3 linked regions of the Ovis aries genome follow. The protein of the gene in region 3 binds, or shares a complex with, the protein of the main gene of each other region. Links are inferred from orthologs where the notes say so. Each region holds a gene or a part of one and is shown on either strand. Other genes may lie near its edges.

What was found. Proteins that work in one complex are often made in the same cells at the same time.
Region 1: ZNF541 (region 3) and DNTTIP1 share a complex: the UniProt entries of both Homo sapiens proteins name them as parts of the histone deacetylase complex. The link is inferred for Ovis aries from reciprocal best matches to the Homo sapiens genes ZNF541 and DNTTIP1.
Region 2: ZNF541 (region 3) and SAP30 share a complex: the UniProt entries of both Homo sapiens proteins name them as parts of the histone deacetylase complex. The link is inferred for Ovis aries from reciprocal best matches to the Homo sapiens genes ZNF541 and SAP30.

The regions. Positions count from the first base shown.
Region 1 is NC_056066.1:74,537,386-74,542,687, forward strand, and holds the start of DNTTIP1 (deoxynucleotidyltransferase terminal-interacting protein 1), read left to right. Parts: upstream 1-1,992; 5' UTR 1,993-2,050; coding exon 2,051-2,155; intron 2,156-2,727; coding exon 2,728-2,798; intron 2,799-3,815; coding exon 3,816-3,912; intron 3,913-5,302. Other genes in the region: WFDC3 (WAP four-disulfide core domain protein 3), read right to left, coding at 1,401-1,457. UniProt on the Homo sapiens protein: Increases DNTT terminal deoxynucleotidyltransferase activity (in vitro). Also acts as a transcriptional regulator, binding to the consensus sequence 5'-GNTGCATG-3' following an AT-tract.
Region 2 is NC_056055.1:107,372,434-107,377,744, reverse strand, and holds the start of SAP30 (histone deacetylase complex subunit SAP30), read left to right. Parts: upstream 1-2,001; 5' UTR 2,002-2,313; coding exon 2,314-2,628; intron 2,629-4,212; coding exon 4,213-4,338; intron 4,339-4,864; coding exon 4,865-4,963; intron 4,964-5,311. UniProt on the Homo sapiens protein: Involved in the functional recruitment of the Sin3-histone deacetylase complex (HDAC) to a specific subset of N-CoR corepressor complexes. Capable of transcription repression by N-CoR.
Region 3 is NC_056067.1:54,251,084-54,255,326, reverse strand, and holds the end of ZNF541 (zinc finger protein 541), read left to right. Parts: exon of another isoform or gene 1-96; coding exon 97-185; exon of another isoform or gene 186-1,674; coding exon 1,675-1,815; intron 1,816-2,019; coding exon 2,020-2,201; intron 2,202-2,318; coding exon 2,319-2,487; 3' UTR 2,488-2,999; downstream 3,000-4,243. UniProt on the Homo sapiens protein: Transcription regulator which is essential for male fertility and for the completion of meiotic prophase in spermatocytes.

The sequences.
Region 1 (5,302 bases), on a different chromosome or scaffold from region 3:
GAACATTCCTGGTGCTACCAAAAGACACATGTGATCAGAATGATCAAACTCTGTACAAGGGACAATGATGAAGAATCTAGGGGGAGCTGGGAAAACAGAGGGATAGACACTGGATCAAAGAGAGCCCTAGAGGGTTTTTCAGGGACATGGCTACAGCTGAAATGAGAGAGGAAAGGACTAAAGACACCACTAAAGAAAAGAACCAACGCTAATAAAATGCACTGTGGCTCCTGTCCATCATCGCAACCTAGAAAACAGAGACTAGAACCAACTGCGTACAAACTATTCAAAAACTATAGAAAAGTAGTGTTTGAATTTCTTCAGAACTAACATAAATGCACCAAAAACCTACATCTTGGTCACTCTGGCCCATATAGGACATTTTTGGACTATAGGAAGGCTAGTTGACAAAACTCAAAAGAACAGTTGCTGACTCAAGGAATAACCTAGGTCATATAGACTCCCTTTCTTTATCTCTTCTTCCTATATTTCTTTTTATTTTTCTTTATCTGTCCCTTTGATTAACCATGATACTTAATAGTGTCCACTGGCTCTGCTTAGTCTAACAAGGTTAAAGGGCAGGGGACATTCAAGGCACAAGATAAAAAACCTAAATAGGGTCTAGGAGTTTGTTGCCAGAAAGTCACCTTATTATTTTAAGGCTGATAAATGAACATTTGTTGATCTAATATGTGCTTGACATATTTTATTTCTCACAACTAACTTGCAAAAGTAAGAAAACTTATTCTTTTTTTAGAGGGAAAACTGCCCAAGGTCATTAAGCTAGTAAGTGGTGGCTTTTGGAATTTAATAACAGGAATGTCAGATAGCATTGTTTGAAGGTTTATTACTGCCAAGGGTCTAAGTACTTTACATAAGTTAGCTCACTTAATTCTCACTACAACCCTATGAGTTAAATACTATTATCCCCATTCTACAGATGGGGAAACTGCATCGCAGAAAGAAATGTAGGCCGCAGCTAATAAGTGGTAGAACAAAGGTGCGTGTGTGCATGCTCAGTTTCTTCGGTCATGTCTGACTTTTTGCAGCGTCTGAGTCTTTGTAACTCTATGGACTGTAGCCCACCAGGCTCCTCTGTCCATGGGATTCCCCGGGCAAGAATACCAGGAGTGGGTTGCCATTCCAGGGAATCTTCTGACCCAGGGATGGAACAGACGTCTCCTGCATCTCCTGTGTTCCAGGAGGATTCTTTGACCACTGAGCCACTTGGGAAGCCCAGAACAAAGGTAAGCAGTCCAATTCCATAGCCAGTGTTCTTTATCATCTTATCATAATGAATTTGAACTCAGATCTTTCTAACTGCAAAACTCATGCACCTTCTACTACCCCATATTATGACCTGGTAAAAGTAGGTCCAATTCTATTCATGGATGTCTTACCTCTAATGCAGAGCAAAAGGGGATCTGGGGAACTCCACAGCTGTGAAACCCCTGCATCCTCAACCTATCCCAGAATCAACCATCTGGGGAGAGAAGCCCAGGATCTTCATTAGATGCCTTCCGACGCCAAGAGGCAACCCCTGGGGTAAAGGCCTGGAGGGACCCCTGAGTGAGTGTTTAGGATGCCATGGGCCAGACGCCCCCACCTCTTGTTGGGTTTGGGGGTCCTCGCATGAGGCCCATCCAATTCTGGGAGCATATTAAAATCTAGTTTTCCAAAGACAACCGCAGACGCCCCCGTACCAAACGCCCCCCTCCTCTCCCCAGCTCCAGCCCATGGAAACCTGCTCCCTTCCTCCCGCCCCGCACTTCTCCACGGGCCTTGGCCCGGCCAGAGAACGACCCTTGACTGAACACCCCCAGTCACACCCGAAGCGAGGCCGCCCCCGAGAGGCAGAAAGGCCACCCGACACGCAACGCCTCTAAGCAGCTGCAACCGGACGAGAACCAGCGGCGCGGTTTCCCTGGCAACCCCACCGCTCGCCGCGTCGCGCTTCCGGAGCCTGAGGGCGGCGCGCTCCAATGACGTCACGGGGCCACTTTCCGGCCGGTGGCAGAGTCGGGCTGAAGTTGTGGGGGCCCGTGGCGCCATGGGGGCCACTGGCGACGTTGAGCAGCCGCGGGGACCCGGCGGGGCAGAGCGGGGTGGCCCCGAGCTGGGAGACGCGGGCGCAGCGGGGCAGCTGGTTCTCACGGTGAGGGCGCCCCCGGGGAGGCCCAGGCGGGGCCTGGGCTCGGGCCGGGCAGGGCCTCGGGCTCCCGGGACCCTGGCCCGCGGGGGAGAGAACGCGGCGGCTGATCTACCGAGGGGGTTGGCATTGTCACAGTCCGACGACCTGGCTTCAAATTCTGGTGCCGCCCTCCTAGCTAGGTGACGTGGGCCAGCCCTGTCAAGCCTCTCAGCCCCAGTTTTATCTTCGGGAAGATGGAGATGTCTAGCCCCTGCCTCTTAAAGTTGTCAGGGGGAGGGATAATAAATGCGGGTAAAGCGCCCAGCGCATCATCTGGCAGAGTAGACCCTCGGTAAACACTGGTCCCCTTCCTCCACCCTTTTATGAAAAGTAGGGTTGGGACTTTGGAGGCAGGAAACTTTGCTCTGTTCCTCTTCCCCTGCCGGGCCTTCCCCTGCACCGCCCTAGCCCAAGGTGGCAGAGACGGTGAAAGCACCCGAGAAGCAGGAATGTCTGAGGTGTAACTTAATGCCCACGCTCCACCTCCACGCCAGTGTCACGGACCTCGGTGACATCTGCTCCCTTGGTCCCCACAGAACCCTTGGAACATAATGATCAAGCACCGGCAAGTGCAGCGGAGGGGCCGCCGCTCACAGATGACCACAAGGTAAGGCTAGCCCTGGACGGGATGTCTCTCCAGGGCCCTGGCGTGGAAGGCAGCTTTGCGGTCCCCACTGCACAGGGCTAAGAAAGAGTTCATCAGCCAGTAGAAGGAGGAGATTCAGATTCAGTAACTCTCTGTGTGACCTTGAGCAAGTCATTTCCCCCAAACTCAAAACGAGGGAGAGGTGTGTTGATTAGACAATGCCCAAGATCCCTAACGTTCAATGGCTCTTGTATTTAAAGCTGCCAAAGAGGCAGAATAGCATGAAGATTATGAGAAACGTAAGCCTGATAGTCTCCATCTCAGGGAAGGGAGGGAGCGCAAGATGGGTCTTTGGGATGCTGGTTGTATATGTTTGTTGACCTGTATGTGTGTATGTATGCTAATTCGCTTCAACGGTGTCCAGGTCTTTGCAACCCTATGGACTGTAGCCCACCATGGGATTCTCCAGCCGAGAATACTGGAGTGGGGAGCCATGCCCTCCTCCAGGGGAATCTTCAGACCCAGGGATCGAACCCTCATCTCCTGCATCTCAGGCGCATTCTTTACATGTAGCACTACCTGGGAAGTCTTGACCTAAGTAGTGATTAAATGGATGTTCACTAAAACTTACAGTATATTAAGTATTATTCTGCTAAAACACTTTAAAAATAGTGCCCATTTCATAGAGTTATGAGTATGAAATGAAGTCCCACATCTATGTGGTTTGCACAGAACTTGGACTCATAGCTAGTTTTCAGTAAAAGTCATCTTTTTGTTTATTCGGGGGTGGTTTGTTTTTTTCTTTTTCTAGCCGCGCTACATGGCATGCAGGATCTTAGTTCCCTGACCAAGGATCAAACCAGTGCTTCCTATAGTGGAAGCATAGCGTTTTAACCACTGGACTGCCAGGGAAGTCCCAAAGCCATCTGTTATTGTTGTTGAAGGATCTTATGTCAGTAATTGGCTGGGCAGATTGGGAAAAGAAATGTTTGGAACATGCCTCCTGACTGTGGCTTCTTCCCCTCCCTCCCTCTGCAGTTTCACAGATCCTGCCATCTCCATGGACCTCCTCCGAGCTGTCCTGCAGCCCAGCATCAACGAGGAGATCCAGACAGTCTTCAACAAGTACATGAAGGTGAGAAGGATGCAGAGACAAAGAAAAAAAAATAGGAGTTAAGACTCATCGGTGATCCTTCCCTGCATCACAGTCTCCCTAGCTCTTTCTAGTACCTACACATGCCTAAAGTTTTCCAATTTGGAATCCCCACTCCAAGAATGTTTTTTCTCTTTGGGGGGTAATTGAATACCTCTTATTGTTACCAAAGCAGGTTTGGGTCTCCTCACCCATGTGTATGCTAAGTTGCTTCAGTCATGTCCAACTCTTTGTGACCCTATGGACTGTAGCCCGCCAGGCTCCTCTGTCCATGGGATTCTTCAGGCAAGAATACTGGACTGGGTTGCCACGTCCTTCTCCAGGGGATCTCCCTAACCCAGGGATCAAATCTGCATCTCTTAAGTCTCCTGCATTGGCAAGTGGGTTCTTTACCTGCAGCGCCACCTGGGAAGCCCAAGCAAGTTTGGGTCTGCTCACCCACACGCAGTAAAACCAATCTACTGACACCAGGTAGTGGTGAAGGAAAGTGCAACATTTACTGCTGGACAGCACCAAGCAAGGAGGCTGGGCACTAGTTTGTTTCTGTTATTGTTATTTAGTCACTAAGTCATGTCCGACTCTGCAACCCCATGGACTGTAGCCCACCAGGCGCCTCTGTCCATGGAATTTCCCAAGCAAGACCACTGGAGTGGGTTGCTGTTTCCTTCTCCATGGGATCTTCAAACCCTCATCTCCTGCATTGGCAGGTGGGTTCCTTACCACTGAGCCATCAGGGAAGCCCTCCGGGGACTAGACTAGGGCTTGAAACACCCAGACTCCCCAGTGGGTTTCAGCAAAGCATTTTAAAGACAACGTGAGGGAGGGGCATCCCAGGGTATGTGATCAGCTTGTGCACAATTCTCTGATTGGCTGATGGTGAGGTGGCCGTGTAGTATCACAGGGAGTAACATTATTAACCCTTAGGCTCTGCTCATGTTCATCACGTAGTTCATTTCTTCCACTTCATGGTGGCTTTAACATCTATTAGACAACTCAGGAAATGTGCATCAGATGCTGTTATTGAGGAGCCTTAAAGCAGAGGATATGGGAGAGGAGCCTGCTCCCTGTCCTCCAAGGCCCCATAGGGTCAGCTCCATTAGTTTTGCCAAGCTGTTGTGAGGATGAAATGACTTAAGTGTAATGTGCTCAGCCTGTGCTTGGAATGCAAGTATTTTTATTACTTGTTTAATAGATAACCATTGTTGCTGTTTAAAATTTATTTCAATATCTATTAATAATCTTCTACACGGCTCTACCTGAATTTCCCACAGATGCTTCAGTCCCAGCATATTAAGGACTGAACTCTTGTGTTTCTCTTCCTAAATCTTCTCATGTATTTATTCTTTCATCCGAGAAGTATTTTCTAAGCCCT
Region 2 (5,311 bases), on a different chromosome or scaffold from region 3:
ATGTAAAAAAATTACTAAATTAATATTCTTAAGAAAAATGTTACTAAGTCTTTGAAAACCTGCTGGTAGTTTATATATACTGGCATCTCAGTTCAGGTTTTAAGTTTAGACTTAACATTTAAGTCGAAAAAATAGATTGTTCCAAACATATTTAGAAGTTTTCCAGTAAGTGAAATCAGTTTAAAATTTTTTAATGAATTAAAATGAACAATTCAGTTTTTCATTCACAGTTAACCACATTTAAAGTGCTCGATATCCACATAAGGCAAGCAGACACCCTATTGGACGGTGCAGCTTGAAAAGAAAACACAACACTTACCATTCAGGATTTTTTGCCCACTACATTTATTTAAAATGTTTTTCTTCCTTTGCTGTTTCTTAGAGGGCAACCCACTCCGGTGTTCTTGCCTGGAGAATCCCAGGGACAGGGGAGCCTGGTGGGCTCCCGTCCCTGGGGTCGCACAGAGTTCGACATGACTGAAGCGACTTAGCAGCAGCAGTAGCAGCAGCAGAGCGGAAGTGCACAGATGGACAGGATGGCTGTGAATTTCAGGGTAGATGACAGTTTACATTTTAAAAAACTCATTTATCACTCAGTTTACTCTGCAAATATAAAAGAGCTTTCAAAAAAAAACCCTACTGCTTTCTATTTTTGTTTAAACAATGGGATTGAACAGGATATACGTACGATAAATGACGCGCTACCATTAGCAAAGGTGTAGCTTTCGTACCAGCCACTCCCAACCTTCCACACCGCCCTCCACACGCCCGCGCACACAGACACGTACACAGACACGCGTGCGCGCGCTCACGGATCCGGAGCACCCCTTTCCCGGCGATCTCGGCCGAGCGCGCGCCTTCGGTCTCTGGGAGCTCGTGGCTGACCGGAACTCAGAGGGGTTCTGCTTTTTATTTTTCACGTGTGATTAGACAGGTTCCCGGTTCCTTCGAGGACAAAGTGGAGGTGCCCGGGCTGGAGGCGGAAAGCAGCCCCTTTAAGTCCACTCATCCGGAGCTCCACCTCAGGAGGCGGTAGACAAGAGTCCGCCCCGCAAGCCAGCGCGATCCTCGCACGGACAATGCTCGGATCTGGAGAGCCTCCAGTCCTCCTGCCGAAGGGGAGGTTCGGACGCACGTCACCCCTCCCTGCCCACCGCCCCCGCAGGCGTCCTGATGGACCATCTCGGGCGTCAGTCTGCAGAGCTGCTACCCAGACCCCATGGGGTTAGACATGGGGCCTCTGGGACCCCAAAACTGCCAGAGCCCCGTTCTTCTTGGTTTGGGTTTCCCACAAAAACGTTGTTTAGTTGCTAAGTCGTGTCTGACTCTTGCAACTCCATGGACTGTAGCCTGCCAGGCTCCTCTGTCCACGGGCTTCTCTAAGCAACAATACTGGAGTGGGTTGCCATTTCCTTCTCCAGGGGATCTTCCCCACCCAGGGGTCGAACCCATGTCTCCTGCATTTGGCAGGCGGATTCTTTACCACTGAGCCACGTGGGAAGCCCCACAAAAGACGTCTTTACATCAAAAATTTTTTCACAGATACAAAAAAGGCCCGAAACTTTTTTCCCCCACACCTTCCCTCCCCTCGTATCCCCTCCGTTCCCACCCTCGCACCCCCTCCCCTCCTACCCCCGCCTCCCGCCTTTTGTGCTTCGCTTCAGGAGTTAAGTGACCTCTTCGTCTAAAGTGCCAGCTCTGCAAAATCCAGGAGCTAAACACAGCTCAACTTCCCGGGAGCTACCAGAGCCAGAAAACATCACAAGCCCCCCGCCCCGCCCCCCACCACACGCCCCTGTTTTCTCAATGTATTACCGAAAAAAAAAAAAAATCCAGATCCGCCTCCGCGCGATGAATGCTGGGATAAGAAGTTCTCCTAAACCATGAAGCTCGATGTCAGACTGGAGCTTAGGTTGGCTCCCCAAAAGAGAACTACAATTCCCGTGGTGCCCTGCGGGCAGAGTGGAAGGGGCGGGACGGGCGAGGGCGCAATGTGCTTGCGCAGATCGAGGGCCGAAGGGAGGCGGGGGTATCGAGGTCCGACTGCTGAGGAGTCTCCATGTGACAGTGAGCAGCGTCCCAGCTCCAGGCGACGCCAGATTCCAGTTCCCGATCCCACGCCCCGTCCACTGATCCTGTGCCTGCAGACAGCAGCAGGCCGGGGCCTCGTGGTCTTGGCCGGAGGACCCTGGCTCAGAGTTAATAGTCTCCGCTAAGCAGGTGCGAGGGACCGCCGAGACCCCGGCATCTCCAGAGAGGCAGGCGGCGCGGAGAGCGAGGCTTCTGTCAGCGCGGCTCTGCGAGTGCGGGAACATGAACGGCTTCACTCCCGAGGACATGAGCCGCGGCGGGGACGCGGCCGCCGCTGTGGCCGCCGTGGCCGCCGCTTCTGCCGCCGCCGCGTCAGCCGGGAACGGGGCTGGGGCTGGCGCCGGGGCCGAGGTGCCGGGTGCAGGGGCGGTCTCGGCGGCGGGGCCGCCGGGAGCGGCAGGGCCGGGCCCCGGGCAGCTGTGCTGTCTGCGCGAGGACGGCGAGCGGTGCGGCCGGGCGGCGGGCAACGCCAGCTTCAGCAAGAGGATCCAGAAGAGCATCTCCCAGAAGAAGGTGAAGATCGAGTTGGATAAGAGCGTAAGTGACGGCGGTACGAATCTGCTCTGCCCGCCCCCCGGGGCGCTCGGGGAGAAGGGCAGACGCGTGCCGGTGGGGGTGCGGGAGCCCCAGACCTGGGTGCCTCGCGAGCCCGTTCCGGGGTCCCTAGTAGGAAGCAAACAACAAGGTGCTGCAACTCGGCCCGCCGTCCGCAGTAGACACTCTCGCGCCTCCCGGACCCGCTCCCGCGGCCCCTCCCGCGCAGGGCCTCCACTCCTGCTCTGAGGGGGTCAGTGGTGAAACAAAGGGGGCGGCAGCGCCGAGAACCCAGAGTAGCTGTCCTGCAACCCACGGCTCCTTCTGGAACCGAGGCACCTTCTTTGTTTTGCTGCCCGAGCGGGTAGCTTCCCCGGTCCAGGAATGGAGTGCAGCCAGGACCGGACGCTGCGGGCGACTAGGACCCTGTCCCGGGTCCCGCGGGTGCGGGGTGGGGGGCCCCCGGCTGCGAGCCGCGCGGCCGTGTCATCATCTAGGGGAACTGCTCGAGACGTGGGGAGCGGGCAGCCGCTGCGGGTTAGCCCTCGGTTTGGCAGCCATCAGGGTTTCTTTCTTCGTCCTTTCGCAGGTCTGTTCCTCTGACCATCTAGGAGGTTTTTAGAAACGACCGTTTCCACTTTTCCGAGCCCTGGGGAGCGGTAATAAATCACAAGATGTGAGAACCAGCACACGTCCTGCATCTTCTTAACTTGCACTTTAGCTCAAAGTTTAATTTGAAAACCTGTTAGCTCATTCCTCAATTTTTTTTTAAGAAGTAACTGCTGATGTATAAAACCCAGTATTTCAGAGGCTACCGTACAGCTCTCAGAACTATATAATTAACGTTTTTGGGAACTTTATTTGGGATACTTTCTGCCTATTCAGTTAGTTCCTCAGTTCTGTTTCCAGTAGTTGAAACTTTCCAGGTATACTTGAATCATTTCACATTGCTTTGGTTGGAAAAACTTATTATAAATAAATGCTTTTATTTAATACTCAGGAAAGTTCATAATTCAAATTTAAACTTAGTAAGGATGTGAAATCAATTTATTTGTCAAAAGTGGATGGTTTTGTGTCTGGATTATAATTTGAGTATTAAGTTAGATTAGGAAGCATTCACTATGGTATTAATATTATTAAATGCTCTTTTAAGTAAAGAAAATACTATCAAATAGCAAAATTGTGGCCAGCATCTTTTTGCCCTTGTTTAAAAAAGCGGCATAGCTGAACTAATCTAGTTCACCATCGCTGCAATTTGATGACAGAATCCAGAGCATAGGAATTTCTCATTCTCTGCTTCTCTCCCTTCCCTTACTGGCACTTCTCCCCACCCCACCCCCAGGCCTCTTTAACAATATTGCTAGACATGATATGTTTTAACTGGGTTCAGGACTTAAGAGTAGCAAGAAACATGCCTTGTTTTAACTGGGTTCAGGACTTAAGAGTAGCAAGAAACATGCGTTGTCTTAACAATGGCCTGTTACTAATGTTTATATTTTTAATAATTCACCGTAACTATGTATTTTACTAATACATAGACACATTTTCCTGTAATCTTAAGTTGTCTGTGAAACTTTTCTGTTCCAGGCAAGACATCTTTACATTTGTGATTATCATAAAAACTTAATTCAGAGCGTGCGAAACAGAAGAAAGAGAAAAGGGAGTGATGATGATGGAGGAGATTCACCTGTCCAAGATATTGATACTCCGGAGGTAGGTGAAAGGTTTGTAAGTTAAATGTAAAACTTCTGAAAGTTTTATTTAAAAAATATGAACAAATTCTAAAAATACTTGAAGCATTTGAAAACTCTAAAAATGAAAGCAAAATTAAATATAGCCAGTTAACATGCAGTTATGCAGTTTGACTTGTTATGGCTTCAATTGACCACTTTTTTTTTAATTTTAAAAACAATTCACTTATTTTTTAATTGAAGGATAATTATTTTACAGAATTTTGTTGTTTCCTGTCAAACGTCAACATGAATCAGCCATAGGTGTACATATGTCCCCTCCCTCTTGAACCTCCCTACTCAATTGACAACTCTTATAGTCCCCAGTCGTTAATAAGCATCCTCAAAAGATTGAACTGTTTAATGCATTTTTAGTTTTGATTATTTAAAAGCCTTTTAAAATAATGGAATTAAATTTTCACTGTGTTGAAGTTGAAATGTTTTTTAGAGCAAATATTAGTCATTAGCAAATGATATGAACTAATTCATATACGTTAATTTTTTTCTAGGTTGATTTATACCAACTACAGGTGAATACGCTTAGGAGATACAAAAGACACTTCAAACTCCCAACCAGACCCGGGCTTAATAAAGCACAGCTTGTTGAGGTATATATAAGTTTTAAACTATTTAACCTTTAATGCAAAAAAAGTCATTAAATACTAATGATGTTAATTTAGTATATATAACAATACATTTTAGTTAGAAAAATCAAAGTTAATAAAATCTAATGTGGAAGAATCTAGTTGCCTAGAAATGTTTGTCTATCACTTAGGAAATTCCTTTATATAATGATTACTCATTAGATTATATGCAGTTTTCTAAGCATCTTCTAATACTGACTTTCAAAAATAGTAAGTAAAAGTTTTTTTGTATTCTCTCTCTAGAAACCTGTTTCTTTTAAAATTTTATTTTACTCAGTAAACACTTATTGAGCACCTAATTGAGGCATAATA
Region 3 (4,243 bases):
GGCATCTGATTGGTACCGGGTCGCGGCAGCCTGAAGAAGGAGGGGCCGTGACTGTGGTCCCAGAGGAAGAAATGCCCCCCGGCTGTTTCTTACTAGGTTCAGACATCTGGACCCCCATGGAGAAGAGGCTCTTTAAGAAGGCATTCTGTGCCCACAAGAAGGACTTTAACTTGATACACAAGACGGTAAGCGCACGCGGCAGGCTGGCATAGAGGAGGTTCCCTCACCGAGCCAAGGGGCTAGAGCCGCAGGGCCTGTCGGGAGTGACTCTCCGCTCCTGCTGTGAACGACTGACAACTTTAAAAAGCCATCGCTGAGAACAGCCCCAAACAGTACAGAGAAGAAGCCTGTGTTCAAAACAAAGCCCTCCAGGCCCCAGCCCACTGTCCACTGACTGTAACCTGACAGGCATTTACTGTCCGTGCAGTTTACACACATATGTACACTTTCTCAAAAAATGATGAGAGTGTATATTTGATATCCTGCTGATTATCTTGCTTTTTTAAAAAACTGGTCCACAAAACTGCACATAATCGAAGTGTAAGATTCGATGTTTTGACGTACCTGTCCCCGGTGGCTCAGCAGGTAAAGAACCTGTCTGCCAGTGCAGGAGACACAGGAAAGGCAAGTTCGATTCCTGGGTCGGGAAAATCCCGTGGAGAAGGGAATGGCAGCCACTCCAGAATACTCACCTGAAAAATCCCATGGACAGAGAAGCCTGGCAGGCTACAGTCCATGGGGTCAAAAGCTCCCTCCTGCGCCTTTGTAACCTCTCCTTCCTGCCATCAACTCCTGTCTGCTTCCTGCCACTGTGAGTTAGTTTGCATTTTCTAGAGCTTTATAGAAATGGAGTAATCATGCAGCATGTGCTCTGCTTTGGCTCCTTCCAGTCTGCATGACAGTTTTGCGCTTCATCCACGCTGTCGTGTGCGCCAGTAATTCATCAGTTTGCTGAGGAGTATTCCATTGCGTGTCCCCTTCTCTTTTTCAAAACCTTCATTCCGGGCTGCACGGGGTCTTCCTTGTGTGGGGGTTTTCTCCAGGTGCAGTCTGGGCTTCTCAGAGGGGTTTCTCTCGTTGTAGAGCTAGGGCTGTAGGGTGCGAGGGCTTAGCTGCTCCCCAGCATGTGAAATCTTCCCAGACCAGGGATCAAACCTGTATCCCCTGCATTGGCAGGCAGATTCTTAACTACTGGATCACTAAGGAGGTCCCATCGTGTGTCCTCTTGTGGGCCTCTTCCCTCAGTACTTACTGTAGGGCCCCCCAGCTGTCGCAGAGGCCATGAGGTACCCACTGCATGAGGGTGCTCTGCTTTAATTAGTCCTGATACATAGACACACGGCTCCACATGGTGTCACAGCAAATGCATACCTCCGTGTGCATATCCCTGGAGGGAAGGGTTCCTGGGCCGGCCGTGTTGCTCAGAGTGTGCAGAGCTTAGCTGGTGTGGGCTCTGGTGGTTTCCTCTCTGAGCCCCTCACCCCTTGGAAGGAGTCTGTGATTCTCTGCCCCTTTAGCAAAGGGGCCCGCCAGGCCATAGCAGGAGAGAGTTCAGGAGGGCTTTCAAAAAGTGGCAGCTGGCCCCCGAGGGGGAGGGGCTCTAGGGCATTGAGGCCCCACTCACTACTGCTCCTGAGGCGCTGTCCACAGCCACCTTCTGTCTTCCCCGATCAGATCCAGACAAAGACCGTAGCCCAGTGTGTCGAGTATTACTACATCTGGAAAAAAATGATCAAGTTTGACTGCGGCCGAGCCCCAGGGCCAGAAAAGAGAGTCAGGAGGGAGCCAGATGAAGTAGACAGGGCGGAAGCCAAGGTAGGGGGTCTCGGGGAAGGGGGTCTGGAGTTCAGCCCGATCCGGAGGCCTGGTGCCTATCCATGCTGGGCAGGGGTGGGGGTACTCCCAGCAGGAGGGGCTTTCCATGGGCGATGTTCCCATGGGCTCTGGGTCTGTGCTGGTCCCTTAGCAGGGTGAGGGGGTGGCTCAGCACCCTTTTGTCATCTCTGCCCACCCCTGCAGGTCACTTGCAGTCCTCGGGAGAGACCCAGCCACCGTCCAACCCCCGAACTAAAGATAAAGACCAAGAGTTACAGGAGGGAGTCCATCCTCAACTCCAGCCCGAGCTCTGGCACCAAGCGGAGCCCCGAGGCACCTGGGAGCGTGGAGGGCCAGGGCGCCTTTCCCTGCCGGGAGTGTGAGAGGTACTGAGCTCCCTGGAGGCGCCTGCACCGCCTGCCCTCAGCCCCTCTCCATCCTCTCAGGGTCCCCCCGCCCGCCTCCCCCTGCTCTGATCCCCATGTTCTCTGGTGCCTCTGCAGGGTGTTCGATAAGATCAAGAGTCGAAATGCCCACATGAAGCGGCACCGGCTGCAGGACCACGTGGAGCCCATCGTCAGGGTCAAGTGGCCGGTGAAGCCCTTCCAGCTGAAGGAGGAAGAGGAGGAGGAGGAGGAGCTGGGGGCTGACATCGGGCCCCTGCAGTGGTGATTCAGGGCGGGGTGGCAGCGGGGACAAAGCAGCAAGTCTCCCCGAGGTGCCCCTCTGCCTCCCCAACCCGTCCCTGTTGCCAGGGGCCAGCCCAGCTTGCAGACATGGCGGGCACTGGGTCACGAGCCGGGGACACACGGTCATCTGAACACCGTGAAGGCCCTGACGCTGTATCGGAGGCTCCATTCTCTTAGGTTCATAGTCTCTCCCCTTCTGTCAGTTCGCCTCTTCCTGGAGCAGTGAGGCTTGGGGAGGGAACAGGTTAGGTCTGGGTAACTCTTCAGTCTTAGCCTCCATTTCAGGCTTTGGTTACGTTTATTCAGTAGGCCAAGATGTAGAGAATCAGTGGGAATTACCATCAGATCTCCACCGCACCAAGGCCCCTCGCGGAGGGTCTCTCTGCATTCTAGATTCTGCCCCTAGTCTTGACGTGACTTGTACATTGTTAGGTTTGGTTTTTCTTTTTTTGTACGTGTCGACTTGTAAGTCTTATTAAATTGGGTTCTTAAGCAGCTCTCTTCTGGCTTCCTCGCCTATTGATCCTGTGAAGGCTTGAGTCCCTGCCCCTCCAGGAACCACAGGGATGAGTAAGCTGAGTCCCTGCCAGCATTTATTAAGCACCTGCTGTTGTTAGGCCAGACAGTGCCCAGGCCATACAGTGGGGACATGATGACACGGAGGGACAGGGCCCCTCTCCTCACAGAGCTCACAGTTTAGGAGCGGAAGGTAGCAGTGATAAGTCAGCAAAGAGGCCAGTTTAGATATCGATCGCGGATGTGGCTTTGGCCATAGTAACAGAGTCGGCCTAGGTTTAAGCTCTCAGGACATGTGGTAGTGGTGTGAGCAGCTCTCTTGTGAAGTTCAAGCCTGCCAGCGGTGACCAGCGTTGGCAAGAGCAAGGACCCCCTCCTCCTCCACCAGCACCCCAACCTTCAGAGGACACAGGGCAGACAGCACGTCCCTCCCTGCCTTGCTTCCCTTCTTTAGAGGGAGGAAAGCTTGTGGTGGGGCTTCCCAGGGACATTAGGACATTCTCAGGTGGCGCTAGTGGTAAAGAACCCACCTGCCAGTGCAGAAGACGCAGGAGAGGCGACTTTGATCCTTGAGTTGGGAAGATCCCTGGAGAAGGAAATGGCAACCCATTCCAGTATTCTTACCTGGAAAATCCCATGGACAGAGGAGCCTGGCGGGTCCATGGGGTACAGTCCATGGGGTCACAAAGAGTCAGACATGACTGAAAACACACACACACACAGAAACCCCTTGTAGCAGCGCCTAGCAGAACTCGCCTCATACCCCCTTGGCCAGGACTGTAGCCCATGTTCTTTCTAAACTGATCCCTGGCGGCAGGAAAGGAAATGGCCAGTTATCCTGGACACGGGATCTGTCTCCAGGCCTGCAGAAAAAACAGTTTGCCTCAAGTTCGTTGTCACCCAATCAAAACTGGAATCCTGTTTGCCAAGAAAAGAAGAGGAAGCAGGAATGGCTCCTGTGGAGTCAGACCTTGTGTCCACCCCAGAGTGACACAAAGAAAGGGGCCAAGTCCGAGGGAGTGGCAGGGTGTGGCGGGCGCTGGTGAGTGGATGGGGAGGTGGGGTGCGCAGAGGACACCACGGAGGCTGAGACCTGGCTTCTGGGCCAGAGCGTGAAGCACAGACTGCCCCAGGAAGCGGGGGAGGTGGTTCAGAGCTCCAGCTGCCATGTGGAGGTTGTGGTGGGCAAGTCGGGAAGCCAGAAGGCTCTCGGGTGAGATGAT